Linked DNA regions of Callithrix jacchus. Each later gene encodes a partner of the first gene's protein in a complex. Links are inferred from orthologs where the notes say so. Each region holds a gene or a part of one and is shown in the gene's direction. Other genes may lie near its edges. The genes, in order: WRAP53 and GAR1.

Region 1 (14,907 bases):
TCATCTCAAAAAAAAAAAGGCTAGGCATGGTGGCTCATGCCTGTAATCTCAGGACTTTGGGAGGCTGAGGTGGGCGGATCACCTGAGGTTAGGAGTTCGAGATCAGCCTGGCCAACATGGTGAAACCCCTTCTCTACTAAAAATACAAAAATTAGCTGGGTGTGGTGGCATGTGCCTGTAAGCCCAGCTACTTTGGAGGCTGGGGTTTCACCATGTTGGCCAGACTGGTCTCAACTCCTGACCTCAAGTGATCCGCCTGCCTCTGCCTCCCAATACTTACCAAATCCCATCAGGTCCACCTTATCTTCCTAATCCATTCACATCTGTCTATTCCACCACTGCTACTTTAATTCAAGGTCCTATTATTTTGGGCCTTATGCTGCTGAAACAGTCCCCTGCCTCCTTTTGCTCATTAAACCCATGTTTACTGACTGCTGATTCTGCACCAGGTGTTGGGGAAGCAGTGGTGAGAGCAAGGCAGATGAGATTCCTTCCTTTTCCCATAGGTATGATGGAAGCAGGGTGGGGAGCACTGAAGACTATAGGAAAGTGGAGCAGGGGTGCCTTGTTCAGCTGGAGGGGTTAGGGAAGCATTCCCAGAGGAAGAAGCATCAAAGAGACCTGAAGGATGATTAGGAGTCACCCAGGAGGAGTCGTTAAGGGAGATGAAGGAAGAATATTCCAGACTTGGAGCCTAGGACATGTGAAAGCTAGTAGATTGAAAGTGTAGCGAGTTGGCACCTTATGGGACCTGAGAGTCAAAATGGCAGGACTCAGAGATTTTAAGAGAATGAGCAGATAGAGATGAGCTTTGAGAGGTGGGTCGGGGTAGCAGCATGGTAATGGAAGGCTAGGAGGAGGAACTGGCAAGATTTGGTATTGGGTTGGACCAGGAGTGGAAAGAAAGTGAAGATGGTAGCAGTAAAGGCTGGTACTCAGATTTCAGGATTGAGCACTGGTTGTGGAGTCCAGGAGGAACAGCAGGTTTGACGGTAGCAGATGCTGGGCCCATTATGGACAAATTGAGTTTGAGGATCCTGTGGGATGGTCAAGTGGCACTGTCCACCAGGCAGTTGGATATATGGGTTCAGGGTAGAGGGGGGACACTGAAGTCATGGTGGGTTGACATCAGCCTGAGGGCCAGCAGATAACTGATGAAGGACGGATGTCCAGACTATTTAAATATTTCTTACAAATCAGTAAGAAAAAGGCAACAATTGGCCAGGTGCAGTGGCTTATGCCTGTAATCCCCACTTTGGGAGGTGGAGGTGGGCAATCACTTGAGGCCGGGAGTTCAAGACCAGCCTGGCTAACATGGTAAAACCCTGTCTCTACTAAAAAATATAAAAATTAGTCGGGTTTGGTGACAACTGCCTGTAGTCCCAGCTACTTGGGAGGCTGAGGCATGAGAATTGCTTGAACCCAGGAGGCAGAGGTTGTAGTGAGCAGAGATTGTGCCACTATATTACAGCTTGGGGAACAGAGAAAAACACTGTCTCAAACAAACAACAAAACCCCCCCAAAACAAAAAACAAAACAACCTAGTAGAACAATGGGCAAAATTTGGCCTGGTGCGGTGGTTCATTCCTGTAATCTCAGCACTTTGGGAAGCCGAGGCAGGCAGATCACTTGAGGCCAGGAGTTTGAGACCAGCTTGGCCAACATGGCGAAACCCCATCTCTACTAAAAATACAAAAATTAGCCAGGCGTGGTGGTGGGTGCCTGTAATCCCAGCTACTTGGGAGGCTGAGGCACAAGAATTGCTTGAGCCTTGGAGGCGGAGGTTGCAGTGTGTGCTGAAATTGCACCATTGCACACTCCAGCGGATAGAGCAAGACTCAAAAGCCTGGGGGGAAAGAAAGAAAGAGAGAGAGAGAGAGAGAGAGAGAGAGAGAGAGAGAGAGAAGAAAGAAGAAAGAAAAGAAAGAAAGAGAAAGAAGAGAGGGAGGGAGGGAGGGAAAGAAGGAAGGAAGGAAGGAAGGAAGGAAGGAAGGAAGGAAGGAAGGAAGGAAGGAAAAGAAGAAAGAAAGAAAATGAGCAAAATTTATGAAAAGATACACCTAATGGCTAGTAAGCATAGAGGAAATATCTAAACTCTCTTACAGTAATGATGGAAATAGAAATTTATGCTGTAATGAAAGCCCATTTCACTGCCTTCATATTAAGAAATATGTAAAAGTCTGGCAATACTAAGAGGATAAAGAACGATCCTTTTTTTTTTGGAGACAGGATCTTGCTCTGTTGCCCAGACTGGGATGCAGTGGTGCAAACATGGTGCACTGCAGCCTCAACTTCCTGGGGTCAAGCAATCCTGCTGCCTCAGCGTCCCGAACAGCTGGGACTACAAGCATGCCACCATGCCTAATTTTTTAATTTTTTGTAAAATTGAGGTCTTGTTATATTGCCCAGGCTAGAATAGAGATTCCTACATGCTGCTGGTGGGAGAGGACATTGGGATGAGTGCTTTGGGAAAGAAATGGACATTATAGTATCTTACAAAGTTGGCAAAGTGCATAGCATAGAGACCAGTAATTTCACTCATCAGCAGAAACTGTAGAGAAACACTTCTACATATGTACAGAATGTTAAAGCACACTAGCCAAAAAATAGAACGACGTCAGTGACTCAACAGAAGCAGGGTAAATCAGTTTGAATGTATTCATGAGTGGAGTACTGTACAGCAGTGAAAAGGTATGAATTACAGCAAAATGTGTTACCATGGTTAAAGCTCACTATCACAGAAGGATACATATGATATGATATCATTACTGTTAGGTGTAGGCTGGGCATGGTAGCTCATGCTTGTAATCCCAGTGCTTTGAAAGGCTGAGGTGGGTGGATTGCCTGAGGCCAGGAGTTTTAGACCAGCCTGAGCAACATAGACCCCTGATCTACAAAAAAATAATTTAAAAAATTAGCCAGACATGGTGGCATGTGTCTGTCTTCCTAGTTACTAGGGAGGCTGAGGCTGGGGGACTGCTAGAGCCCAGGAGTTTGAGGTCACAGTGAGATGATTGCACCATTGCACTCTAGCTTGGGCAAGAGAGCAAGACCCTGTCTCTAACAAAAGAAAAAACTAAGTATAATGACCTGCCAGAGAACGTTAGATACTGTTTTTTTTCACAAATTTCCCATATGAATATATTCCTAGGTCGGGCGCAGTGGCTCACACCTGTAATCCCAGCACTTCGAGAGGCTGGGACAGGTGGATCACTTGAGGCCAGGAGTTTGAGACCAGCCTGGCCAAGATGGCAAAACCATGTCTCTACTAAAAATACAAAAACTAGTCGGTGATGGGGGGATGGAGGTAGCAAACCACCTTGCCATGTGTGTACCTATGCAACAATGCTGCATAATCTGCACATGTACCCCAGAACCTAAAGTAAAATTAAAAAAAGAAAAAAAATATTAGTCAGGTGTGGTGGTGAACTCCGGTAATTCCAGCTACTGACGCTCAAGAATCACTTAAACCCTGGAGGCAAAGGTCGTGCCACTGCACTCCAGCCTGGGTGACACAGTGAGACTCTGCCTTAAAAATAAATAAAGTATAATATAGTCCTAAATAAATGTATGACAATGATAAATTCAGTATATTGTTTACCTCTGAGGGAGAGTTTCTGTTAGGAAAGGGGTTTAAACATAGTTTTTTCTTCAGCTGGATGTTTGAACTGCTTACTTTTTTTCCTTCATTTTTATAGGGAAGTTACTTTTTTTGTTTTCATTTTTGTATTTTTGAGACAGCTTTTCACTCTGTCTCCCAGGCTGGAGTGCAGTGGCACCATCTGGGCTCACTGCAGTCTCTGCCTCCTGGGCTCAAGTGATTCTCATGCCTCAACCTCCCTAGCAGCTGGGACTACAGGCATGTGCCACCATGCCTAGATAATTTTTTTTTCCTCGAGGAGACAGGGTTTTACTATATTACCCAGGCTGGTCTTGAACTCCTGGGCTCCAGTGATCTGCCTGCCTCAGCCTCCCAAAGTACTGGTATTACAGGTGTGAGCCACTGTGCCCTGCTGATGGATTTTTTTTTTTTTTTAGACAGTGTCTCTCTCTGTTGCCCCGGCTGGAGTGCAGTGGTGCAATCTCAGCTCACTGCAACCTCCACCTCCTGGGTTCAAGGGATTTTCCTGCCTCAGCCTCCCGAGTATTTGGGATTACAGGGGCCTGCCATCATGCCTGGCTAATTTTTGTGCTAATATTTTTTTAAAGGGTCAAATGGCACCTAACATGTACTCAGTAAATATTTGAATTACTGGTTAGTTCTTTGTGTCTGGGTTGGGGTATTATTATTTGTTTCTTCCTCTCTAAGTGTTTAAAAAGAAAAAGTAAGAGGCTGGGCATGGTGGCTCACACCTGTAATCCCAGCACTTTTGGAGGCTGAGGTGGGTAGATCACCTGAGGTCAGAAGTTCAAGACCAGTCTGACCAACATGGAGAAACCCTGTCTCTACTAAAAATACAAAATTAGCCTGGCGTGGTTGAGCATACCTATAATCCCAGCTACTTGGGAGGCTGAGGCAGGAGAATCTATTGGAACCGGGAGGCAGAGGTTGCTGTGAGCCGAGATCACACCATTGCACTCCAGCCTGGGCAACAGGAATGAAACTCCATCTCAAAACCTTTTTAAAAGAAAAGAAAAAGTATGAATCTATATGGCTTTTGGTGGCTAAATCTGACATTAAAGTCTGAGCTCGCCCTTGAACATTGAGACAGAGTCTCTGCTCCGTATATACACCCCATCTGCCACAACACTGCTAGAGGCACATGCCTCAGACACCGTTTCCCTCCGAGTGACTCAGGCATTTGTACATCTCTGTCTAGGTCCCTGTCCTTCGAATGGTGGAAGGTGATACCATCTATGATTACTGCTGGTATTCTCTGATGTCCTCAGCCCAGCCAGACACCTCCTAGTAAGTAATGTCCTTTGCCTCTCTGTTCGCCACCCCACCTCCCAGTTTCAAGCGGGTCCTCTTGGGAGAGTCAAGGGCTGCCAGGGTCCTTCAGAAGAGGAAAGCTTGTCATGCTCATCAGAGGGGCTGGTCAGTTGGCTTCCTCCCCTTCTTTTTTCTTTTTTGAGATTGAGTCTCACTCTGTCACCTAGGCTGGAGTGCAGTGGCACAATCCATGCCCAGCTAAGTTTGTTTGTTTTTTTTTTTTGAAATGGAGTCTTGCTCTGTCATCCAGGCTAGAGTGCAGTGGTGTGATCTCTACTTACTGCAACTTCTACCTCCTGAGTTCAAGCAATTCTTCTGCCTCAGCCTCCTGAGTACCCACTTTGCCTGGCTAATTTTTGTATTTTTAGTAGAGACAGGGTTTCACCATGTTGGCCAGGCTGGTCTCGAACTCGTGACCTCGTGATCCACCCTCCTCAGCCTCCAAACGTGCTGGGATTACAGGCATGAGCTACCGCACCTGCCCTGTATTTTTGTTTTTTTGAGACAGAGTCTTGCTCTGTCATCCAGGCTGGAGTGCACTGGTGCAACCTCGGCTCACTGCAACCTCAACCTCCCAGGTTCAAGCAATTCTCCTGCCTCAGCCTCCCAAGTAGCTGGGATTACAGGTATGCACTACCATACCCAGCTAATTTTGTGTTTTTAGTAGAGACAGGGTTTCACCATGTTGGCCAGGCTGGTCTCGAACTGACCTCAGGTGATCCACCTGCCTCGGCCTCCCAAAGTGCTAGGATTACAGGCGTCAGCCACCGCGCCCGGCCATTCCTCCCCTTCCTTTGACAGCACAAGGGTTTCAGTGTCCATGTCTCTCTCAGTGTAGCCAGCAGCAGCCGGGAGAACCCTATTCATATCTGGGACGCATTCACTGGAGAGCTCCGGGCTTCCTTTCGTGCCTACAACCACCTGGTAGGGACCTTCACACTCAGCCCTAGTATTTCTGCTGGCCTGGCTCTCCTTCCTTTAGGGAAGCTGAGGCTTTGCAAGACATGTTTTCAGCCCTTTTCTTTTCCCAGGATGAGCTGACAGCAGCCCATTCACTCTGCTTCTCCCCGGATGGCTCCCAACTCTTCTGTGGGTTCAACCGGACTGTGCGTGTTTTTTCCACGGCCCGACCCGGCCGAGACTGCGAGGTCCGAGCCACATTTGGTAAGCATCTGTGCCTCCATGGGGGGTGGAGAGAGAAGCGTGCTGCCTCCTGCATAGGTCCTTGTGTGAGCCAGGGGCCACCTGTGGAGTTTCATGCCGTCATGTGTACAACCCTGGGAGGCAGCTGCAGCCCAGTTGACAGAGGAGAAAGCAGACTCAGAGCATGTAGGAAACCTCCCCAAGGTCAACCAGCCGGTCAGAGGACGGCTTAATTCCTGAACCCATGCCCTGTCAGCTGTGGAGCTTTTGGTCTCTGAAATCTTTCTAGAAAATTTTTCATGAAGCTGATTCTGTTTTCCTGTAGGCCTTCAACTTGCATCTCTCCAAGGAAAAACTGGAATTTGAGAGGGATGAAGTGGGCGTGGGGCTTGGTGTTTAGGTCATTTGGGAGGATAGATGTGGGAAGCATCAGAGGTCTTTATCCTGCTCCTGACAAACAGCGTGGGGGAGATGTGTTGAGTGCAAGCATGCTGGTGCTGGGATGGGAGACAGAGCTCTGCTTGGTGGGGCCAGGAGCTACAGCCCCTTCCCCACTTTGTTCCTTCCCTCTCTAGCAAAAAGGCAGGGCCAGAGTGGCATCATCTCCTGCATAGCCTTCAGCCCAGCTCAGCCCCTCTATGCCTGTGGCTCCTACGGCCGCTCCCTGGGTCTGTATGCCTGGGATGATGGCTCCCCTCTTGCCTTGCTGGGAGGGCACCAAGGGGGCATCACTCACCTCTGCTTTCACCCCGATGGCAACCGCTTCTTCTCAGGAGCCCGCAAGGTAGGGGTCATACTCTGAGAGCTCAAAGCAGCTGGGCAGGAGTGGGGATGTAGTCTGCAGTGCAGGGGGATGGTGATGGGGATGGGGAGAAATCCCAAGCTGACGGAGTGCCTGGAGACCCTGAGGGAGGCAGGGACATCTAGGGCTTGGGGGGCCACTCCAGGTCCTGTTCTGTGTCTCTAGGATGCTGAGCTCCTGTGCTGGGATCTCCGGCAGCCTGGTTACCCACTGTGGTCCCTGAGTCGAGAGGTGACCACCAATCAGCGCATCTATTTCCATGTGGATCCGTGAGTGGCCGTGGCTCCTTCCCACACAGGGCCCTGATAAGCCTAGGAATGTCAGGGCTCAGCTGTGGGGTCCCAGCCCCTGGGTGTGGGGAGTTCCTGCCCCGGGGATGATGCCTCTGCCAGCAAATCTCTCCTCTCTCTTCCAGGACTGGGCAGTTCCTAGTGAGTGGCAGCACGAGCGGGGCCGTCCAAGTGTGGGACACGGGCGGGCCTGGCAATGATGGGAAGCCGGAGCCTGTATTGAGTTTTCTGCCCCAAAAGGACTGCACCAATGGCGTGAGGTCCTCACTTCAATTCCAGAGATGTTGGGGATTGGGTTGGGGAAGGAGGTGAATCCCAGAGGGAGCAAGTGTTCTTACTGAAGGTGCTGACAGACCCTCTCATCTCTCCCTCAGCCTGCACCCTAGCCTGCCTCTCCTGGCTACCGCCTCCGGTCAGCGTGTGTTTCCAGAGCCCACAGAGAGTGGGGACGAAGGGGAGCCAGAGCTGGGCCTTCCCCTGCTCTCTACGCGCCATGTCCACCTTGAATGTCGGCTTCAGCTCTGGTGGTGTGGGGGGGGCCCAGACCCCAGCATCCCTGATGACCACCATGGCGAGAAAGGGCAGGGAGGGATGGAGGGAGGTGACAGTGAGCTTATGTAAAAAGGTTTTTATGATACTAGAGTCTTTGTGTCTGTTTGGGGAGGCACATGAGTGAGGTGGGAGCGGGCAGGGGAACTGGCGGGCTCCCTTGTCCAGCAGCAGTGGGTATGGCATATTGTTCCTGAAACCAGGGATCGAGAGGTGGGACTAGGCAGGAGCCAATGGGGTGGCTGAGCTTGGTGTGAAGTCAAGTGGGTGGGGGTGGGGCTTCATGCCATTGACTGGTTGGTTGCTAGGCAACTTGGTAAACTGAAGGGGGAAACCTGTTTGAAATCTCACTCCCAAGGTGGGGGCAGCAGGGGTCAGGGTGAGCCAGGCTGAGCAGAAGCTGGGTCAGACTGTTGGGTGTGACCGTGTGAGACTGTGCAGACAGTGACAGGGTGACCGTCACCTAAATTCCACACTGTTTGCCATGTTCCAGCAGCACAGGGACCATTACTCAGCTCTGAGGGGAGCAGGAACCTGTCCCTCCCCTCCCCAGGGCTCTCCAGGAGGCAGACAACCCAGTTGCCAGAGTCAAGGACACACGAAAGAGTAAACGTGTCAAAAAATATACAGTCGTCACCTTTGGTATTGCCGTTAGATGCAGGGCATGGCAAGGGTCTTATTCAGCAGCTGTCGCTGGGCTTGTTTCCCCATTTGTCTGTTCTGTCTTTGGGGGTGGGGGACGAGTGTGTCATTTGAAGCAGTGACTCCTCCCTCCTCCCCCCAACACCTTCCCAAACACTGAGAATGGGGGGCCTTTGAAGAGATACCGCCAGCAGGGGATGTGATTTTGGACCTCACAAAGGGAAGGGAGGAAAGGCCTGTGGAGGCTTGAGAGAGGAGAGGAATGTCACCCCTGCCCAGAGGTGCTGAAAGCCAGGGCTCTTACCCCCGAAAAGGCAACTCCTCCCTTCCCCCAGGATAATTGGAAACAGCCCTTCCTGCGGCAGTGCCGATTTGGGGTTGTAGGTATGCCCCTGCCTCTCCAAGCCCGGCTTCTCCCCCCAGCCATCTAGGAAAGGCCCAAGTGTATCCCCTAAACTCCTGTCCCACTAACCCCCAGGTTAACAGCACACGGTAGGTCCATGGAGTGGTGACAAAAGAGACCCCAGTAGTGGGAGTTGAACAGCCTGGGTTTGGTCTCTAGCTTTATCCTAGACTTCCTGTGTGACCTTGGGCAAGTCATGGGGGTCTCCCTGAGCCTCAGTTTCCTCATCACTGCAATGGGATCGTTAGCTCTGCCCCTGCCACTTCACACAGGTAGTCGTGACGATCAGCTCCGCCGCACTTTGTAAATTGCCAAGCCGTCAAGGTTATTATTATTCTCTCCAGACCTGCCGGGAGCAGCGGTGTTGTTTTGGGACGGAGGAGGATGCAGGAGCACAAGGGGTGGGTTCCTCTGGGTGGAGAGGGCGAGAGCCTTTCTGGATTCGAGAGAGGAAGATTCCAGCAGCTTGGGCAATTGGAGGGCAGGAGGGGAGACGGGCAGAACTCAGCCGGAGCCAGAGGCTCGGAGAGACAAAGGGGGCGTGAGAGCCCGCGCCGGGGGCTGAGGCGGGGCGGCGGGCGGGAGGTGCGCGAGGTGAGGGAGGTGTGGGGGGCGTGGGCCGCGGGATGCTGCCGCCCGCTCCGCCTCGAGCTCCAGCTCCGGTTTTTCCCTCCACCATCCTCTCCCCCTCCCCGCCTCTCCTTTAACTCCCCCCTCCTGGGCTCGGGACTGGTTTCCTCCCTTAGCCCGCTGCCCTCAATCCCGGCGAGGCTGGGGCTCCGGCTCAGCGCCCCCTTCCTCGCTCCGTGGTCCGACGCCCCATGCCGCCCCCGCCCAGACCCCGGCTCCCCCAGTCCCCCACTTAGGCGGGCTCACAGATCCCGGGGTGCTGGCGCGTGGGCCGGGGGCGCGTAGGGCGCCTGCAGACGGCCCCTGGAAGGGCTCTGGTGGGACTGAGCGCTCTGCTGCGGGGGCGCGGGCACAGCAAGAGGCAGGTCCGCGTGGGCGCTGGGGGCATCAGCCACCGGGGTGGTCCGGGCTGAAGAGTCAGGCAGCCAAGGCAGCCACCCCAAGGGGTGAGCGACTTTGGGGGAGTTGGTGCCCCGCCCCCCAGGCCTTGGCGGGGTCATGGGGCCCCCCCATTCTGGGCCGGGGGGCGTGCGAATCGGGGCCCTGCTGCTGCTGGGCGTTTTGGGGCTGGTGTCTGGGCTCAGTCTGGAACCTGTCTACTGGAACTCGGCGAATAAGAGGTGAGCGGCCTGGGGCCGGGGAGACCCCAGACCCTAGGGCAGTGGGTAGGGAAGCTTTGGGGACTTTGGGGGCTGGCTTCTGTGGGCAGGGAGGAGGCGGGAGGGAAGGCGCTGGTGCTGTGATGTGTGATGGGTTACTAGACAGGTGATCTTGGGAGCCAGACTCCGGGTCCCATGCAGAGCTGGATGCAGGTGGTGCTATGGATGTGTCAGGAGTTTGGAGACCCCGAAGGGGCAAGGAGAAGAAAGTTCATGGGTAGCCAGGAGGGCAGTGAGGTGGGTATTTGGATCTATGGGAGGCCTGCGTTGGGGGGCTGGGCTTGGAGGGAGCCTGGTTACTGTCAGCTCTCAGGAGAGAGCTGCAGATAAGGTGCTGCGAGTCGCTGAGGGGAAGGCAGGGCAGGGTGCCTCCCTCCCCGCTGGAGGAACTCAGCGTCTAAGATGGGAGGCAAGGGGGTTTCGTTTGGGGACTCTGGGGACAACTTCCCCAAGGCTCTTTGACAATCTTTGACAGTCTGTCTCCCAACTCTTCTGCACAGCCAGAGGGTTGGTGAACTGTTGGCTGAACGATTTCCCAGCCAGAACATATTCCTGCCTTCCTGGCTTGCAGGCATCTTTCTGGAAGAAGCCTCCAGCCCACTGAACCCTCCTTCCTTCCCTTTTGCATCTGGAGTCCTGAGGACTCCATTGCCCCCTCCCCCAATCTTTGATCCAAACTCTTCCATCAGACCCTCTGTTCCGTGGCATGCCTGCTTTGCTCTGAAAAGAGGCCAGGGGTCAGATGAAACTTCAAGTCACACTGGGTAGGACAGAACCTTTGGGAGGTCATCTGGGTCCCTTGCCTACATGCAGATCCCACTTGCCACTCAGAAAAGAGTTCTGTGTTTTGAAGAATTCCTACTTCCCTGGGGAGACTGTGTGAGGCCATGGGAAGCGGGTGGGCTTTGGAGCTCATCAAATCCTTGGTCTTAATCATAGCTCTGCTGCTTTAAGCTGTGTGGCCTTGGGCATGTCACTTAACCTTTCTGAGTTTGTATCCTTAATCCTTACAGCTATTACCGGGATTAGCGGTAAGATGTTGAAATTTATTATGTGCTCATTAATGGAGAGTTTGGATTATTGTTCCACTCTTTAGTTCCCAGACTCCCTCACATTTCCCTGCCCTGCCATCCCTCCCTCTCTGTCTCCCGGATCTCTTTGGGTATAATCTCAATGTCTTTTCTGTACTCAGTCACCCACTTGCCAACTCCCAGCTGCAGTTTGAGTATTAGGTGTGTAGCTTGAGAACATAAGCTTATTTTCACAGGGTAGAGAAAAGGGAGTTGGGGTGTCCTGGGGGCTCTTTTGGATGTGGGATGGGAGTGGGACACTTGGGAGTCTGAGAAGATGTCAAGTAGCAGTCCCATGGGATCCAGTCCTGAGACCCTGTCTCAGCTATTAATGCCCAGGAAGGGGTTGCAGGGTTGGCAAGTTGCGGCTGTGCTGGGACAGTGGATGCCTGGGTGCTCTGGCCAAGGAGATGGTGAACTGTGTTGGTCGTGGTTAGAAAAGTCAATTCCTTTCCTTTCCAAAGCAATAGGGCATTTGCCCCAGGAAGTCTAAGACCCAGGGTGGGATTCTGAGCAGGAGAATGACTCAGGCAGCAGGTCTCTAGACCCTGGTTCCCATCAGCCCCATTGATGGTCATGGCCAAACCGGGCATTTGCCCTCCGTCCTATTACCTGGCTAATTTAAGACACTGGTCTGGATCACCCTCCACACAGCCCCTCCCTGACCCATTTCCTATGCCCTGAAATCCCTGAAATTCAGTGGTGGCCTGGAGGAGGGGAGGCTTTGCCCCCATGGTTGGCTGCCATGGAATAGTGAAATCACCTGGGAGGGGTGGGCTGTGTGGTTCCAGAGAGGCCAGCTCCTTGGTAACTGGCATCCTGTTGCCATGGCAACAGGGCTGGTGATGGAGCGGGAGATGGCAGTGTGCATGTGGTGAGGGCAGGCTGAAGAGTGCATTTGGGCACACCAAGGGGCAGGAGACCTCTGAGCCTGGCTTCCTGCTGCTTCCAGTGTGAACGCACTGGAAGAGTCCTTGGTGCCTGCTTGTAAGAACAGACTTTCCACTCAGACAAAGGCGGGCAGGCGTAAGCTGAGGATTGTTGTCCTGGAGGGTTTCGGGGTGAGGGAGGGAAAGCTCTGGGGGCCAGGCCTCTGACATCTCTTCCTTGTCCACCTCACCCTTCTCCCCATAGGTTCCAGGCAGAGGGTGGTTATGTACTCTACCCTCAGATCGGGGACCGGCTAGACCTGCTCTGCCCCCGGGCCCGGCCTCCTGGCCCCCACTCCTCTCCTAATTATGAGTTCTACAAGCTGTACCTGGTAGGGGGTGCCCAGGGCCGGCGCTGTGAGGCACCCCCTGCTCCAAACCTCCTTCTCACTTGTGATCGGCCAGACCTGGATCTCCGCTTCACCATCAAGTTCCAGGAGTACAGCCCTAACCTTTGGGGCCACGAGTTCCGCTCACACCACGATTACTACATCATTGGTACTGCTGGGCAGAGAGCACAACTGAGTTGGGGGCTGCTCCTGACACTGAGCAGAGAGGGAGGGGGACCACTGGAGCCAAGAGGAAGACCCCAGTGCCCTCAGGCAGTGTTCACACCAGGGTGTGGGGCCAGAACCCGGCTAGACTCTGGAGTGCCAACCTCTCCCTCTGGCTTTTCCCTCCCAGCCACATCCGATGGGACCCGGGAGGGCCTGGAGAGCCTGCAGGGAGGCGTATGCCTAACCAGAGGCATGAAGGTGCTTCTCCGAGTGGGACAAAGTGAGTAGGGCTGGAGGACACCTCCCGGGATGGGAGGGACATTGGGGCAGGACGATCATGGTCAAGGGCGGTTGTTTCAGTGCCTCTCTCTGCTCTTCCTCATCTCAGGTCCCCAAGGAGGGGCTGCTCCCCGAAAACCTGTGTCTGAAATACCCATGGAAAGAGACCGAGGGGCAGCCCACAGCCTGGAGCCTGGGAAGGAGAATGTGCCAGGTAGGAACCAGGGTCCAGCCCCCCGCCTTCCCCAGCTTCCTCTGCTCTCAGACCCCAGCTGCCCTGCCATCACCCTCCCTCTTCAGTTTTGGGGGCGGTGATACAGGAAAGAGGAGAAGAGAGGACAGGAGGGTGGGAGGGGAATGGAAGCCAAATGAGGAAAAGACTCAATTAGAACTAATTAGCCAAGTCAGTGCTTCAATCAGTGCTGTCAGAGAAGTGGGGAGGACTCCGTGGCAGGAAGCTGAAGGGCTGGACACCTGGATTCTGAGTGGGGTTTGGCGGGGGAGAGGAGGTGGGGTCCCCAAGGGGCCTGGGCCCTACAAGGGAAGCCCATGGGGGCCCCCAGGGTAGGGTGTCCAGATGCCCAGGTGGCTCCTTCAGTCCCTCCCCCTCTTTCCTCCTTCACCCCTTCCCTGCCAGGTGACCCCACCAGCAATGCAACCTCTCGGGGTGCTGAAGGCCCCCTGCCCCCTCCCAGCATGCCCGCAGTGGCTGGGGCAGCAGGGGGGCTGGCGCTGCTCTTGCTGGGCGTGGCAGGGGCTGGGGGTGCCATGTGTTGGCGGAGACGGCGGGCCAAGCCTTCGGAGAGTCGCCACCCTGGTCCTGGCTCCTTCGGGAGGGGAGGGTCTCTGGGCCTGGGAGGTGGAGGTGGGCTGGGACCTCGGGAGGCTGAGCCTGGGGAGCTAGGGATAGCTCTGCGGGGTGGCGGGGCTGCCGATCCCCCGTTCTGTCCCCACTATGAGAAGGTGAGCGGTGATTATGGGCATCCTGTGTATATAGTGCAGGATGGGCCCCCCCAGAGCCCTCCAAATATCTACTACAAGGTATGAGGGCTCCCCCCATGTGGCTCTCCTGGATCCAGCCCTTCTTAGGGTGCTCCTCCAGTTTAATTCCTGGTTTGAGGGACACCCCTAACATCTCCTCGGCCCCCTGTGCCCTACCAGCCCCTTCGCTCCTCCCCACTGCTGTCCTCGTGTCCACTTTCAGGATTCCTTAGGATTCTCACTGTACCACCTCCTGCCCTCCCGTTTGGCCATGGGTGCTCCCCTCTGTCTCAGTGTCCCTCGGTCCTATTCCCTTGGGGAGGGGCCCAGGCTCAGCCTCCTCTCTGACTGTGACCCAGGCATCCTTGTCCCCCAACCCACCCAGAGCTAGGGGCGGGAACAGTCCACCATGTGGTTGGCACCGCTTCTTCCTGCTTCTCACTGGTTTTCTCCTTTCTCTATCTCTTATTCTTTCCCTCTCTTCTGTCTCTAGGTCTGTTCTTCCCTAGCATCCTCCTCCCCACATCTCCTTTCACCCTCTTGGCTTCTTATCCTGTGCCTCTCCCATCTCCCGGGCAGGGGCATCAAAGCACTTCTCCCCTTAGCTTTCAGCCCCCTTCCGACCTCTCATACCAACCACTCCCCTCAGTCTGTCAAAAATGGGGGCCTTATGGGGAAGGCTCTGGCACTCCACCCCAGCTCAGGGCATGGCAGCAGGGCTCCCTTCTCTGCCTTGGCCCAGGCCTTTACATACTTACTCCAGCCATTTGGGGTGGTTGGGTCATGACAGCTACCATGAGAAGAAGTGTCCTGTTTTGTCCAGTGGCCAATAGCAAGATATGAACCGGTCGGGACATGTACGAACTTGGTCTGATGCTGAATGGGCCACTTGGGACAGGAAATGACTTGCTCCAGACAAGAGGTGTCCAGGCCTGGACAGAAATGGCCTGGGAAGTAGCAGAAGCAGTGCAGCAGGAACTGGAAGTGCCTTCATCCAGGACAGGAAGTAGCACTTCTGAAATAGGAAGTGGTCTGGCTGGAACACCAAGTGGCTTAGTCTGGGGGATGCGGGGGGTGGGAGGTGGATGGTTCTTGCTCTG
Region 2 (15,439 bases), on another chromosome or scaffold:
TTGCTAGGGTCTTAAGGTTAGTGATAAGTTATCAGTTAGTGATACAGCTGAAATACAGGCTGGGTGCGGTGTCTCACACCTGAAGCCAGGAGTTAGAGACCAGCCTGGACAATAAGCAAGAGACCCTGTCTGTACAGAAAAGAAAGAAATACAAAGCCAAGTATTCTGAGTCCACAGCCCATGCTTTCGTTACTACTCAAAAGTTGGTAAGTGAGAAAAAAATTTGCTTGAGAGGGAAACTGCCAGTGAGGAAGTCGAGAAAAAGACCCATTTAGGGCAGTTTTCGAGTAATTAACAATGAGATTGGAATGGAAGTCACAGAAAGTAAAGCCTACTACATTAAAGATGAGAGAGGATGAACAGTGTCTAGTTAAGGAGGATTTGAAAGGAGCAGTGTCTAGAATAAAAGGTCCCAGCCCAGAAGCTGTTGCACCAGTCCATACGTGAGGCATTGAGAGCCTGATTCAGGATGGTCACAGTGAGGAAAAAGAGGAAGGGTTAGATAGGAAAGATTTCAAAGGAAACAAAATCAGTAGAACTTAGCTAATACTGGCAATAAAAAGTTTCAGGTTTTGAGCTTGGGCGATGGGAATGGAGAGTTGGTTTTGCAGGAATGTGGTAAGTATTTAAGTTTGGGTGATACTCTAGTTAGTTAGAAATAAAGGTAGTTATTTTGAGACTCCAGATGTCCTTTAAAAAAATGAATCATTGTTAAAGAGTTGGTAGTGGGAATGTGAAAGTTGAAAGGCAAGAGAAAAAAAAAAAGAACAAAGTCTGATTCAGTGGGGGTTGAAGACAAGGAAGAATCAGAAGAAAGAAGCAGAGTTTTGAATCAGATAATACGTTATAATAAGATAACTGTTTAGGTTGAATGGTCTCAGTGTGCCAGGCACTATTCTAAGCACTTGACATTTGTTATTCCATTTAGTCCTTACAATACTCTTTTAGGTGTAGATATACATGATATGGTATTAGTGCATACTAAAGATGAGACACTGAATTAGAGAGAGGGTGGGTGACTTCTCTTAGGTCACAGAGCTAGTGTGTTGTGGAGTCTGTAAACCAGCCCAGGAAGTCCACACTCTTAATGACTGTGGTCTTCTGCCTCACAGGAGAGCAGATATGGTGAAGTGCTGGTAGCCAAAAAGAAAGCTTCCAGGAGAAGTTCGTCAGTATCATTTGAAATAGTTCTATGTTTTAACATTTTCTTGTTCTATTTCAGTGTTAGGAGAGTTCCTCCATCCCTGTGAAGATGACATAGTTTGTAAATGTACCACAGATGAAAATAAAGTGCCTTATTTCAATGCTCCTGTTTACTTAGAAAACAAAGAACAAATTGGAAAAGTGGATGAAATATTTGGACAACTTAGAGATTTTGTATCCTTTTTAATTGGAAGACTGAATAATATTCAAAGGTTGCTATTTGTATTTTTCTGAGGCAGTTAAGTATAAATTAAACTTGTTTTATTTAATTAGACAGGATTGCTACATACTGGACCATGAAGGAGAATCAAGGGGAGGATGTATTCATCCATAGGTATTAAAATGACAGACCCTAGAAAGGTGAGGTTTTTTTTGGGAAAGTTCTAGAAATGATGGCCATTTGGATAAGTCCTACAGGATTAAGTTGGTTGATTTGGATATAGTGGTGCCTCTGGAAATGTAGAATTAGAAGTTGTTTGGTGCCCCCACTACTGTGGAAACTCTTCTCTCCTCTTCCTCTTCCTCTTTCTCTTTTTTTGAGATAGATACTCTGTTGCCCAGGCTGAAGTGCAGTGGCACGATCTCAGCTCACTGCAACCTCTGTCTCCTGGGTTTGAGCAATTCTCATACCTCAGTTTTTCAAGTAGCTGGGATTACAGGTGAGTACCACCTTGCCCAGCTAATTTTGGTGTTTTTAGTAGAGATGGGGTTTTACCATGTTGGCCAGGCTGGTCTCAAACTCCTGGCCTCAAGTGATCGACCTGCCTTGGCCTCCTAAAGTATTGGGTTTGCAGGCATGAGCCACCACGCCCAGCCCCCTGGAAACTCATTTTTTATTTTTCATATATATATGTCCATGTATTCTAATCTTGTTTTTGAAATTATACATAAATTCATAAGGTTCGATATTACCTTTCATCTTAATTGCTAATTTGTTCCTTAATGAAAGTAATAGTATTTTTCAGTTAAATTGTCAGAAAATATGAAGGCTTCATCCTTTAAAAAACTGCAGAAGGTGAGTCATACTTACGTTACTTGGGATCCTTGGTTTTATAAGGGAATGACCTATCTTAGGAAAGTACTACTTAGGGCACTTGAGACTTCCCCAGTATATCACTAGTAAAGCTCTTAAACTGAAATGTTCTGTGCTATAAATATTGAACATACTAATCTTTAAAAGTAATTTATTTGATACAACCTTTTAGAAAGTAAAAATTACAGATTTTGCTCATATTAACAAGATCTGTAACCGCTAGAGTAAGAGATTTCGTTTATGTAAAACTCATATTGAAAAACTTTAATGACCAAACACTCTAGGTAAAATCTTACGTTATTTGAGAGAACGTAGGTACTGAATGATTTCCCAAGACATCAACAGCATATGCTGTGAAAGAAAACTACAGGTTGCCATGAGAAACTGTAGTGCCACCAACTTTAGTAATGTTTCCTGAAAAAGTGAGCTTGAAGCTTAGGCCTGATTGTTGACTAGAAGTGATTTCCACACCTGGTTGCATGTCAGAGTTATCTTGGGGAGCTTTTAAGAAGATGTACTTCAAGTTTCCACTTGAGGAAATTTGACCTAGGAGCTCTTAAGTAGGGTTCAGGATTCAGTTGTAAAAAGGAAAAGCACTTGGATAGTTTTGATGTAGTTAGGCAAATACTTGAGAGGCGCTGAGCTAGTCAAAGAGAAAGAGGAAAGTACATTCCAAGTAGAGAAAAGAGTATATGCAGTCTCCGAGACAGCAAGCAACTGAAAGGAAATAAAAAGGCAAATGTATAGGTTGGGAAGGAAGCATTTAGGAGAGGTTGGGAAAGTTGTGAATTAAGACCAGAGAGGTAGGAGGGGGCTTGATTCACTTAAGCCTTCAGGTCATAGGAAAGAGTTTAGACTTTAGTTTCAATTGTGTTTTGCTTTTTTTCTTGAGGCAGCGTTTCACTCTCGTTGCCAAGGCTGGAGTGCGACAGCATGATCACGGCTCACTGTAACTTCTGCCTCGCAGGTTCAAGTGATTCTCCTGTCTCAGCCTCCTGAGTAGCTGGGACTACAGGCATATGCCACCATGCCCGGCTAATTTTGTATTTTAAGTAGAGATGGGGTTTCTCCATGTTGGTCAGGCTAGTCTCGAACTCCCCACCTCAGGTGATCCGCCTGCCTCGGCCTCCCAAAGTGCTGGGATTACAGGTGTTAGCCACCACTCCCGGCCATGTTTTATTTTTGAATAATGGGATAATACAGTTAGTTGTATGCTTCAGAAGAACACTGGGAAGATAAAAAAGCACCTTGGGAAGAGGGCAATATTGTGTGAGGGGACAGGTAGGAGGTTATAATAGTTGTTCTAACTATAAAAAGTGGGTGGATTTATGAAAGGTACAGGAAGTAGAATCAACAGGATGGATATTGAAGAAGGGAAAAATATCACCATCTTTCAGATGTCTGATGTCAACATCTTTGTGGGTGATGGTATCGTTTAATGAAATGGGCAACAATGCAGAAGAGGAGGGTTGGGGAAAGATAATGAGTTCGGTTTTGGACATAGTGAGGTGAAGGTACTTGTGAGATGGTCAAATCGTCAGGAGTTTAAAGGAAGAGTCTAGACTGGAGATAGAATTGGGAATTTGTTAAGTATACAGACAGTACATGAAACAGTGTAGGAAGAAAGAATGAGAGGAAAAGAGCACCTATGAAGTTTTGGGACACCTCCTAAAGCTAAATGTCTGTTACTGGAAACTCAGTTAGTGGAAATTGCCAGTTTAAAAAAAAAAGGCAAACCACGAGCCTGCCATAAAAATGGTGTCACAAAAATTGAGAGTGTTTCCAGGAGAGACTGCTCAGCTGTGGCAAAATGCTGCAAAGTGTTCATTGGAAGACAGCCACGTAGACGTCAGGGAATCATGGAGCCAGTGCAGTAGTGGGCCCAGGAGCCAGAATGAAATGGGAAATGAGAAGGAGACAATAGCTTGTTGTTAGCTTATGCCTGCTAGTTGTGGAAACCTTGGCAAGTACTCACAGGAAATTGCTTCAGGTGTGCCTGGAGCTGTTGAGCCCAGAAAGAAACAATGCTGAGAAAGGATTTCCATTTTGTGACCTGAAAAAAAACTGCTGGTAATAGCCACTTAAATTGATTGGAATCCCTCTCCCTTTTCTCAGAATTATTTATTTGAGGGCTTATTATTTAGTTTTTTCGGTTTTTGTTTTTTAACTACAGGTATTAACTTGAGTACATTCTACCTCTCCCAGTTTCCATACCCCCTGCTATGTTGAGATTCAGCCCTCCTTACCCAGCCTGCGTTATTACGAAGTCTGTAGACCAGTGCCCTCTACTTGAACTTTCTGCAGTGATGGAAATCCCTGCCCAGTAAGGTAGCTCTTAGTGACATGTAGCTTTTGAGCACCTGAAGTGTGGCTCATGTAACTCAGGAACTGAATTTTTAATAATTAAATATAAGTAGCCACCTGTGGCTCATGGCTACCACATGGAACAGTGTAGATCTAGATAATATTTTGAGATGATGGGCTATGAAGGGAAGATGAATAATAAGGTGATAGCTAGAGAGGGATTCAGGTATCTTATTCTAAGTAATGTATCACAGTTTTGAAATCCTCATGTGTTTTGTGTAGAAGAACTATGATACAATATGCCCTTTACATTTCATTATCTGAGAAATGTCCTCTTTAGCCCCAATTATGGGATGGGTATAGTTTCTCTATATCCTTCATTACTTTGTGTGTTCAGAAAATAGTTACCCTTTTGATCTTTATTAAAGGCTTGAAACAGCTAGTTTGTGAATGCTTTATTTTGAATTTTAATGCTATGTTTTTTATTTTATTCAAGATAATGCTATGTTTTATTTTTCTTAAGGCAGTTCTTTTGAGTGGAAATGTTAAACCTATTTCTAAAGAGAAATGAGATTGAATTGGTCTTGATTTTTTTATATGCATACAATGCTTATTGTGTGCCAAATTGCAAGTGCCTTATATAGGTCACTTTTGATCATCACACAAACATGTGAGCTAGTTATGTATTCTCTACATTTTACAGATAAAAAAACTAAGGCAAACTGACACAGAAACAGAAAACCAAACACTGCATGTTCTCATTCATAAGTGGGAGTTGAACGATGAGAACACATGGACACATGGTGGGGAACATCACACACCCGGGCATGTTGGGGGGTGGGGGGCAAGGAGAGGGAGAGCACTGGGACAAATACCCAATGCATGCGGGCTTAAAACCTCGATGACAAGTGATAGGTGGAGCAAACCACCATGGCACATGTATACCTATGTAACAAACCTGCACATTCTGCACGTATATCCCAGAACTTAAAATTTAAAAAAAAAGATAAAAGAAAACTAAGGTAGTAAGAAATTAAGTGCTTACCCAGAGATACATTGTGGAAAGAATTAAATTGCAAAACGGAACCCAGTCAGTTTTGACTCTATCATGTAGCTTCTGAATTATTATACTGTCCCCCAAGTCATCACACTAATTGCTTCTATTATGTTTCCAGTTTTATATAGACCCATATAAGCTGCTGCCACTGCAGAGGTTTTTACCTCGACCTCCAGGTGAGAAAGGACCTCCAAGAGGTGGTGGCAGGGGAGGCCGAGGAGGAGGACGAGGAGGAGGTGGCAGAGGTGGTGGCAGAGGTGGTAAGTTACTTGGGGAAAATTTCTGTTGAGATTTTAGAGTCACAGCTAAATTCATATAGTACAATTTAGTTTTGAACATAGCAAACCTCCCTTATGGTAAAGCTGCTTTCAAATATTGACAGATTGTCCATAATAATAATGCTTCATTTCAACAACTTAAACAGAAAAAAAAAAATCTACTGTAGTATACTTTTGAGGGACTTTATTTCTTTGGGTTATTCATGTTTTCTTGGGCATTTTAATAAACCATAAAATCATCTTAATTTTATTATCATTGAGTATAGACTGCATGCTGAAAGCTGGTCATACCTTCTTTTAATTTCTTTGTATATTCTTCTAATCTCAGTGAAACCTTTTGAGATAGATGATATTTTTGTTTTATGAATGAGGAAAACGGAGACTTACAGAAATTAATTTGCCCCCATCAAACAATTGGCAGACCCAGAATTAAAATGCATATCTTCTGATGTCATGTCAAGAACTATTACTAATAAGTTCATTGCTGTGATCTCACTGTTTCCCCAAGGTTTTGGCACATTCATCATTAATTGGCAGCTAGGTGATGAGCAGGGCTCTGGGGAGTGGGGCTGCCATGTCCTGTGAGTAGGGGGAGGGCCAAAGTGGAAAGGGGGAGGAGCTGAAAGTTGGGCTTTTGTTATTGGATCAGAAAAAGAGAAGGAACGATTCGCTTTTGCGTCTCTCAATTTAATCATCATTTCACTCCATAAATGTACTTGTTTGGGTCCATATAGGTAGCAAGGAATATCTTTAAAAAATATCAACATATTTCTCCAATATTTTCAGGGGTACCTTCTTGAGAATTTGATGAATAGAGATTCCCCTATTCTCATTTGAGTATCATTTAACATTTCAAAAAATTCACAACTATCTTATTTTTAAAAAATCTTACCTATGTAGCTCAATTAGCCTTAACTATCATATTTATTATCATGCCCCCAGAGCAAAAGCACCCATAGGTGCCACCCTTTGTTCTTAGGATAAAAAGCCTTCATTCCATCAAACTATCCTTCGTTGAATCAAAAAGTCTTTATCATAAGCAAGAACTAAGGTGATAATTGTACATTTAACAAGACTGAATTATACTTTAAAGTAGCAGGTTTTCTAATTTATTGAAATGGAATACTTGTTTAAAAGGAATCTAGGGTTTTAGCCTGTTGCCAAGTTGGTAAACTACAGTCCCTCCATTTTTATCTTCTAAAATTTTTTCCATGATAAAATATGTGAATATTCATTGTAATTATAGTTATTGTATTGATGTTTGTAGGCTTATCAGCATAAGAGGTTATATAGTTAATAACTGTTCATGTTTATTATTTATATTATTTAAATATTTTGCATTATTATTTAATACATGTTTTTTAGGTGGTTTTAGAGGTGGAAGAGGAGGTGGAGGTGGGGGCTTCCGAGGAGGAAGAGGGGGAGGTGGTTTCAGAGGTGAGTATCTTAAAAAGTCTTTAAATTGCTTGATTTTTAGAATTGATACTAAACAGGCATTTTCTGTTTTTGTTTCAGTTTATTTTTCTCTGCTAGCAAGTATGTAGCACACCGTGATGTTCTTTGCTTAGCCTAATTTGTGGCTTTATTTTATATCACTTTTTGTTTTGCCTTTTCCTTTCAATTTTTTTCACCTAATTCTAATTTGGTTTTGCTTAATTATTAATTTAAAAAATGAAAGTGTAATATGAATGACAGTTAAATTGGGTAAAATATGTTTGCTAAACATTATAGAAACTAATGCTGATTTTAAACTTGAGTTTTAGGTTATAATACTATTAAGAAATCCATTTTCTGTGCCCTTAATACTTCAATTTTCTCTTAATTAGGGAGAGGACATTAAGTGAAATGGTTGACAGACATCACCAGTTGACTTCTGCATAAACCTGTGTCATCTGTTTCTACTGTGGATTGGAAACTTGTTTCTTGAGCAAGTCTTGAAGATCTTGGTCGTTTTATGACAATGGATCTAAAATGTCAGCATTATGCCAAGTACAACGGAATAGTGAATTTTGCTCTAAAAGAGCATGAACAAATCTTTTTAATGTTTTGTATAGTGCCTGGCACTCTGTGGGTGCTTAATAAATGGACAGGAGTTTTCATTTGAAGCATATTTGAATTTTTAAAATAAAGTGTTTATTCCCTTATTTAGAGTGTGTTTATTAAAGAAACCCATTTTTTGAAGTAGAAAGGAACAACTAAAGCTTAAACCCAGTGAATTGCAGATTAAAAAAAGGTTTCTTTTCAATCCTTTTTGATTCTATTTGATCTTTGAAAAAATAGGCTACTAGAGCAGTACTTTATTTACAAATTAATACCCCCTTTCAAAACCCTGGCCTTTTACATATGAGAACATAGCTCTGTGTTTCCCTTTTGTGTTTTAATACATAAATCCGTTAAGCTGTTTCTCTAATTGCATTTAATTATTGATTTAAAAATTTTCCATATTAGCAATGTATTGAAGGTGGAGTAGCTCTGTTTAAGTGAAAACTGTAGTTCAAGAAATTTCTAAAGAAACGGTCAATTTTTCTCAGCCAACATAAATGGAATATTAAAGGTTTTATTGAATGTTATTTCACTTTTACTTTTTTAAAGGGACTCTAAAAGTTTAAGGTGTTATTTACTATACGTGAATATCGATTGCATACCACATGTTCAAATTGCTGGGTAATGATGTTAAAAATGAAATTGGTTTTGGTCACTGTTGCTAGTAGCGTGTAAAGAAATGACCATGGTAGCAAGTTACAATGCCATGATACGGAGCTATTTACCCTGCTATTCATTTTGCACTTCTCAGAAGGAGTGATGTTTCTACATCATTTGTTAAATTTTCTAACATGCTTAACCCTTGAATGCTCATTTGAGGAGCATACAGTGTTGTCTATGTCAGTATTTGGGATTTTATCTCTTTTTTTAATTGATAGAATTGTAGCAGGATTAATAAATACATAGGCCATTAATATATATGATGAGTGAATGTGTTGAAAATTACAGTTTTTACAGGAATAGGCAGTTATGCTTTTACAGCTTAGGAGATCATTTGATTTAGAATTGTGGTGATGAAATTTTCATGGAGTGTAGGGCCAGAGTTTTTGCTCTTGGTTTGGAAAAGAAGTTAGTGAGCATTAGAGGGTGATGGCATTGTCCCAAGGGCAAATAGTAATAGTGCAACATTTCTACAGTTTTTTTTTTAAACATTAAAAATAAATCTATAATGGCAATGTTGGATAAAATGTGATCAGTAGACAAACCACTTGCAGATTTCATCTTTTAGCTTATATATATATATCTTTTGGTCATTGGTCATTGGCCATCTTTAAGCTATTATTTCGACATCGTTTCCCTTTTTTTCCTTATAGTTTCTGGTTTTTTTTTTTTTTTTTTGGAGACAGAGTTTTGCTCTTTTTGCCCAGGCTAGAGTGCAATGGCATGATCTTGGCTCACTGCAACCTCTGCCTCCTGGGTTCAAGTGATTCTTCTGCCTCAGCCTCCTGAGTAGCTGGGATTACAGGCATCTGCCAACATGCCCAGCTAATTTTTATATTTTTGGTAGAGATGGGGTTTCTCCATATTGGTCAGGCTGGTTTCAAACTCCTGACCTCAGGTGATCGCCAGCCTCGGCCACTCATAGTGCTGGGATTACAGGCATGAGCCACCGTGCCTGGCCTAGCTTCTGGGTTTTTTTTTTTTGAGGCATTTTATTTTGAATCAAATTCACTTTTTTTTTTTTTTTTGAGATGGAGTTCCGCTCTTGTTACCCATGCTGGAGTGCAATGGCGTGATCTCGGCTCACTGCAACCTCCGCCTCCTGGGTTCAGGCAGTTCTCCTGCGTCAGCCTCCTGAGTAGCTGGGATTACAGGCACGTGCCACCATGCCCAGCTAATTTTTTTGTATTTTTAGTAGAGATGGGGTTTCACCATGTTGACCAGGATGGTCTCGATCTCTTGAACATTACATTTATACAACGTGAGTATGGGTGGCTATAAGATTTGGGACAGATAAGTCAACCTGTTTACCTTGAGTTTAAACACAGGCAAGAGAACTGAGGCAAAAGGATTATCTTAGGTTTCTTCTGTGCCATTCTAGGATTTACAAAAGATTAAGTGGGTAAATATAGCCCTCTAGTGGTTCTGTTTTATGCTTACACTGTTAACCTTGGTGCATCTAAGCATTTCTCTAATGTTTACTGATTTTAAGAAACTGAGAAGAATCAGATTTTAATAATGTGAATGGAATAAAGAATATGGGGGAAAAGGTAATAGGGATACCTTATTATTCTAACAAAACATGTTTGGGTTAGTTTTCATGTTATAATGTGATAACCCAGAATATTTTTACTCTGCTTTACCATATCAGTGATTGAATTCAGATACTTTGGCAATGTATAAAATGATTACTATCATCAGATAATTTTAATTATGTGCATATCAAACTATAGGATAATTTTTTTTTTGAGATGGCCTCTCACTCTGTTGCCCAGGCTGGAGTGCAGCGGCACAATCTCAGCTCACTCCAACCTCTGCCTTCCAGGTTCAAGCGATTCTCCTGCCTCAGCCTCCTGAGGAGCTTAGATTACAGGTGCGTGCCACCATGCCCGGCTAATTTTTGTATTTTTAGTAGAGATGGGGTTTCACTATGTTGGCCAGGCTGGTCTTGAACTCCTAACCTCATGATCCACCTTCCTCTGCCTCCCAAAGTGCTGGGATTATAGGCTTGAGCCACCGTGCCCAGCCAACTATGGGAAAAATAAACTGAGATGGATGGTGGAGTTGATCATGTTATATCCATGCTATGAAATATATAGCTACTAATAAATTAGACTTTATTAGATTCTGAGATTATTGACCTGAAATTTATAATACAGCCTTAGGGAAAAACAAGTTGCATTATATATGCGTTATATATATACATATATACTTACTTCTTTTCCTCATTTTTGTTTATAAGAAAAAAGTGGAAGAAACCTTAAATACTTGTATGAATATATATTTGTATAAGCAGAGAAAAGCATAAGAAAGAATATGCACCAAAGAATACTGGTACGTTTAGGAGAGGGAGATTCGAAAGTAGGAAGGAGATTACTTCTTTATCACTAATATTTTAATTAAGGAGAAAAAATAAAAGGAGCCACAATGGAAAAACTTGAAGGGTCAACAGAAAACAGGGACCTTAACCTGAATAGTTTCAGAGGACTAAGACTGGCTTTTAATATCAGAACTGATTTCCAGCAGAAATCATTTAAGTCTGCTCCTGCACTGATTTCCTGAGTTTGTTTATTGTTTAATTGTGATGTGTGTGCTTGATAATCTCCTTAGACTGAAGACTGATACCCAAATAGGTTAAAATGTGTAGTGCTTGGTATTTCTTTTTGTTTTGCTAATAAGCTTTTCCCTTATTCTGGGAATTAAAATCCCTTCCTCTTTAGCCCAATTAAATTTGTTAAGGGAGGGCCTCTATGAAAAGGCCCTTCTTTGAGGTCTCTAAGTGGAAATGATTGGTCCTGAAAGATCTTTCCTCAGTAGCTCATAAAACAGTTCATAATTATCAAAGGCTTATTATGAAGGCTGTCTCAGTATCTTCCCTCCAAAATGCTAAGAAATAATTTAGGCAACAGTTCAGACTCTAAAAATGAAGATGGCTCGGTCTTTTCACAGACTGAACACAATATTGTTGCAAGTTACTTGATTATGGCAGGTATGGATGTTTAACAGTTATCTTTCTTTAGGGGGAAGAAAGGCAGAAGTTTTCAGCATAAGGAATGCATTGTTTCAAGTTCCATATTATTGGCCAACCTTAAGAAGTCATTTATCCGACTTGGCTTGCTCGTGTGGTAAATGAGGATGATGATATTCTATTTCTGGGCTGTAAAGATCAAATAAGAGAATGTGGGTGAAAGCATTAGTGATAGCCATTGTCGCGGGTTATTTTGATGTTTGATAATGTAAGAACAGTGAAGTGGGGCTGAGAAAAGTTTTCTATGTAATAAGTAGTTCTTTTATAAAAATCTATATATTTGGTTATTGCATTGTCAAAGTTTTTATTGGAGAAGAGCATGCACCATGGCAAAAATATATTTTTATATCATTTACTATTCTTATACATAATCCTCATATTTTTGTTCTTTGTGGTAGAATTTAGCTAAGGACTTAAAGGTTCTGGAAAGAAAAAGTCCTAAGAAGACAGATCAGAGTATATTGTCATTTAAGGACAGAGTTTGAAAATTCAGCTTGCTCTAGAATACTTATTGGAAAACTCTTGAATTTTGGATTTCATGTTTTAGTATATTTGCAACTGTGAGCAAGTTCCTTCTCCTTTTTGTTCTTCCATTTTCTCACCTGTAAAACAAGGATAAGAGTAAGTTACCTGTCATGATTGTCATAAGGCGTAAAATTAAATGATACATAAATGCCAATAGTAGGTGTTGGGCAAATATTTGTTTCTTTTTCCCTTTCCTCTGTACACACTCACTGATGTAAAGGATTGTTTGCAGAAAAAAACGGATGGGGGAAATGACAGTAGAAACTCTGTCTTTTGATTGTATCATTGAATTGTGTAACTTTTATATTGAGCAATCACTTAATTTTCAACTTTATACTCCGTAACAAGTTTTAGGAGTCACTGTATTATACTGGGTTCATTATTTTTTGGGTGGACTTTTATGAAAATTTCAAACATACTTAAAAGTAGAATGAAAAGTGTAACATATCATCCTATACCCAGTTTATAATTGTTTCGTTTCTTTCTTATAATTCAGCATATTACTTCCAGTGCTAGAAATTGTGAGTTCCTCAGTTAAGTTTTGTGATTTTAGTGACATGTTATCTCGTTCATTTGAATACCTCTGTATGATAAGTACTAAACAAGTACTAGTTTCTTTGTTATTGCAAAAAAGAGAGAAAAATCTCGTAACAATTACATGGAAATACTTTGTATACAAGTGTTTGGTTTAGTTTTTTGTAGATGACCAAAAAAAAAAAACCAAAAAGCAAAAACAAACAACCAGACCTATCCTTTTTTGACCTGGTAACAAAATTAGCATGCAGAAAATATTCTATTTAGTTATTATCCCTGTAACAGTAGTAGTAATAGTAATGTTACTACTGCTACCAATGTTATCATTTGAATACTTGCTATATACCAAGCACTGTTCTAAAACCTTGCACATACAGGATAATTCATCCTTACACTAATTCAGTAAGTTACTTTTCAGTTTTATTTCTCTAGTTTATACTGATGAAGAACTTAAGAATCTTGTCTAACACACACATCTGAGTAGCTACACCAGGATTTGAACCCAGGCATTTTGTTTCTAGAGCCCTCACATATAACTCCATGAGTCAGCTTTATCAAGGTATACAATGTGTATGTGTTGTTCACTTGTGTTTCTTGTGGAGCAACTGAAGGAAGCAGATCTGACCTCTTTATGCTTTTGTTCTGACCCTGTATCAAGCACCTATTTTTCTTTAGATCCCCTAACTTTCCTCCTTTAACAAAATCCACGTAAACTTGCAAATCAAAACCAAAAGTATGAGGAAAGGGTGTAGTGAAAGCATTTATTTCATTTGTTACTTTCACCAAGAGGCTGTTTAGATTTTTTATTTAATCTTTTATTTAGATTTTGGCTCCTATAAACTGTTACCAACTTCCAGTGCGACAGACATTTTGTTAATTTAGTGTCCTTGAGCACTCTCCCTTTCCCCAATTGAGGCCGGGAGGTAAGAGGACATGGTGAATTCGAGAATCTGAGATAAATCATTATGGATGAATCGTAAGATGAAGGGTGAGAGATATGTTGGAAATGATAGCTGAGTATCAGACAGTGATGAGCCATGTAAGTTTTAAAGGTGACAGGGAGTCACTAAAGGATTTGAAACCAGAGTGACATGATCTGATTTGCATTTTAGAAATGCGCTATAGTGGTATCTAAGAAACCACATAGGAGGACATTGCAGTGATTCTGAGGAGGGAATAATGGCAGTGGGGACAGAAAGAAGTAGATACATTCAAGAGCTAGAAGGTGGAATTGATGATTGGATGATAAGACTGTGGGAGGAGAGGAAGCATCAAAGATGACTCCTAGGTTTCTTTTTTTGAGCTACTGAATAGATGGTGATGGTCTTCATCAAGATAGAAACACACCTGGGGAAGAACAGGTTTGAGGCAGGTGAAAAAGTCTCTCAGTTCAGTTTGAGAGGTGTCCAGTAAAAAGCTGGACACATGGGTTTGAGTGTCCGGAGGCTGGAAAGTATCGGTATAGCCTTGGATATGAAGAAATCACTCAGAGTATGTGAAAAGAAAGGGGTCCAAGACAGAAGGTTGGACAATGCACATATTTAATGAGTCAGATGGGGAAAGAAAGGCCAGGAAGTAGATCAAGAAGGGTCTGTCCAAGAGATTGGATGGAAATCACAGAAGACAAGAGAAAAAAATGTTTCAAGGGTGAAAGAGAAGTCAACCTCAAGTGCTACGTAGCGTTTAGACTGACTGTGAGATGGGACTTAACTAAAACCTACTGACTAGGTGATCTATTGTTATACCCATTAGAAGACCTGCATCTGGGGAAACAAGGCAGAGTGTTTGGCACAGCTGCAGAGAGAATAGAGAAAAGCACGAAACTGTTTACTTCATACCCCCCATTATTTCTAAGACTCCCAGAATTATAGTTACTTTATTCTGGTTGTGTACTTGGTAGGCAGCAATTTACTGCACTGTTTTTATCTAACTTTTAAAAAATCATTGAATCTGTAGGTAGCCCAGAAAGATTCTTCATTAAATTCTTCAGAGTATTTTTGTATACATGCGACAATCGTAGATGCTAAAAATAAGGCCAAATTATCAAATTTGCTATCATTGTGTGCTAATTATCTTGAAGGAATGGTAGAAACTAAGCAATATGGGTTTTAGTTGTAGCCACTTGTTAAATAAATCTGCTGTATGTCACATAATCAAAAACCACAGAAATAATGAGGAGCCTGAAATCTACATGAAAAGACTAGGAAAAGTACCAGTTAAATTATATAGAGTCACGTAAGACTATATTATAAGCAAGTCATTCGGAAATTTAGGAAGGAGAGGATAGTGTGGATAGGAGAAGGGTTAAGAGCTTGAACTGAAGTTTGAAGGATGGATGGCATTTGGATAGGCAGAAGGAAGGAGCAGGATGCTCCAAGTGGGAGAAATATGAGTCAAGCATGGTGTATCTGGGACATAACTAGAATAGAGAGTTTGTTTCACAAGTGTAGAAATTTGCTTCTAGAGAGTGACAACAGATTGAGGCAAAGAACCTGGATATCAGGTTGGGACATTTGGATTTTATCCCACAGCCAGTGGAGAATATTACAAGTTCTCGAGAGGTGAAGAACCGTGGTTAATTCTATGTTATAGCAAGCTGATTCTGCCAGAAGCAAGGAGGGGAAAAGAACAGGAATCTGGAAGGTTAGCATAACAGGCTAAGATGGAAGTTCTGAATGAAGTGCCAAGATATGATAAAAGTTTTTACTGAGCTGGTATTGTTGTATGTTGGTGCTTGGAAACTGTCCTTCTCTGACAGTAGTTGGGGATTGATC

What was found.
Region 2: WRAP53 (region 1) and GAR1 share a complex: the UniProt entries of both Homo sapiens proteins name them as parts of the telomerase holoenzyme complex. The link is inferred for Callithrix jacchus from reciprocal best matches to the Homo sapiens genes WRAP53 and GAR1.

The regions. Positions count from the first base shown.
Region 1 is NC_133506.1:74,183,871-74,198,777, forward strand, and holds the end of WRAP53 (telomerase Cajal body protein 1), read left to right. Parts: intron 1-4,820; coding exon 4,821-4,909; intron 4,910-5,748; coding exon 5,749-5,857; intron 5,858-5,964; coding exon 5,965-6,097; intron 6,098-6,651; coding exon 6,652-6,860; intron 6,861-7,043; coding exon 7,044-7,147; intron 7,148-7,293; coding exon 7,294-7,428; intron 7,429-7,542; coding exon 7,543-7,789; 3' UTR 7,790-7,805; downstream 7,806-14,907. Other genes in the region: EFNB3 (ephrin-B3), read left to right, coding at 9,891-10,012, 10,154-10,288, 12,256-12,548, 12,735-12,827, 12,936-13,040, 13,464-13,873. UniProt on the Homo sapiens protein: RNA chaperone that plays a key role in telomere maintenance and RNA localization to Cajal bodies. Specifically recognizes and binds the Cajal body box (CAB box) present in both small Cajal body RNAs (scaRNAs) and telomerase RNA template component (TERC).
Region 2 is NC_133504.1:87,417,422-87,432,860, reverse strand, and holds the end of GAR1 (H/ACA ribonucleoprotein complex subunit 1), read left to right. Parts: intron 1-1,222; coding exon 1,223-1,377; intron 1,378-2,158; coding exon 2,159-2,218; intron 2,219-4,441; exon of another isoform or gene 4,442-4,564; intron 4,565-5,715; coding exon 5,716-5,857; intron 5,858-7,240; coding exon 7,241-7,312; intron 7,313-7,701; coding exon 7,702-7,715; 3' UTR 7,716-8,019; downstream 8,020-15,439. Other genes in the region: RRH (visual pigment-like receptor peropsin), read left to right, coding at 11,462-11,567. UniProt on the Homo sapiens protein: Required for ribosome biogenesis and telomere maintenance. Part of the H/ACA small nucleolar ribonucleoprotein (H/ACA snoRNP) complex, which catalyzes pseudouridylation of rRNA.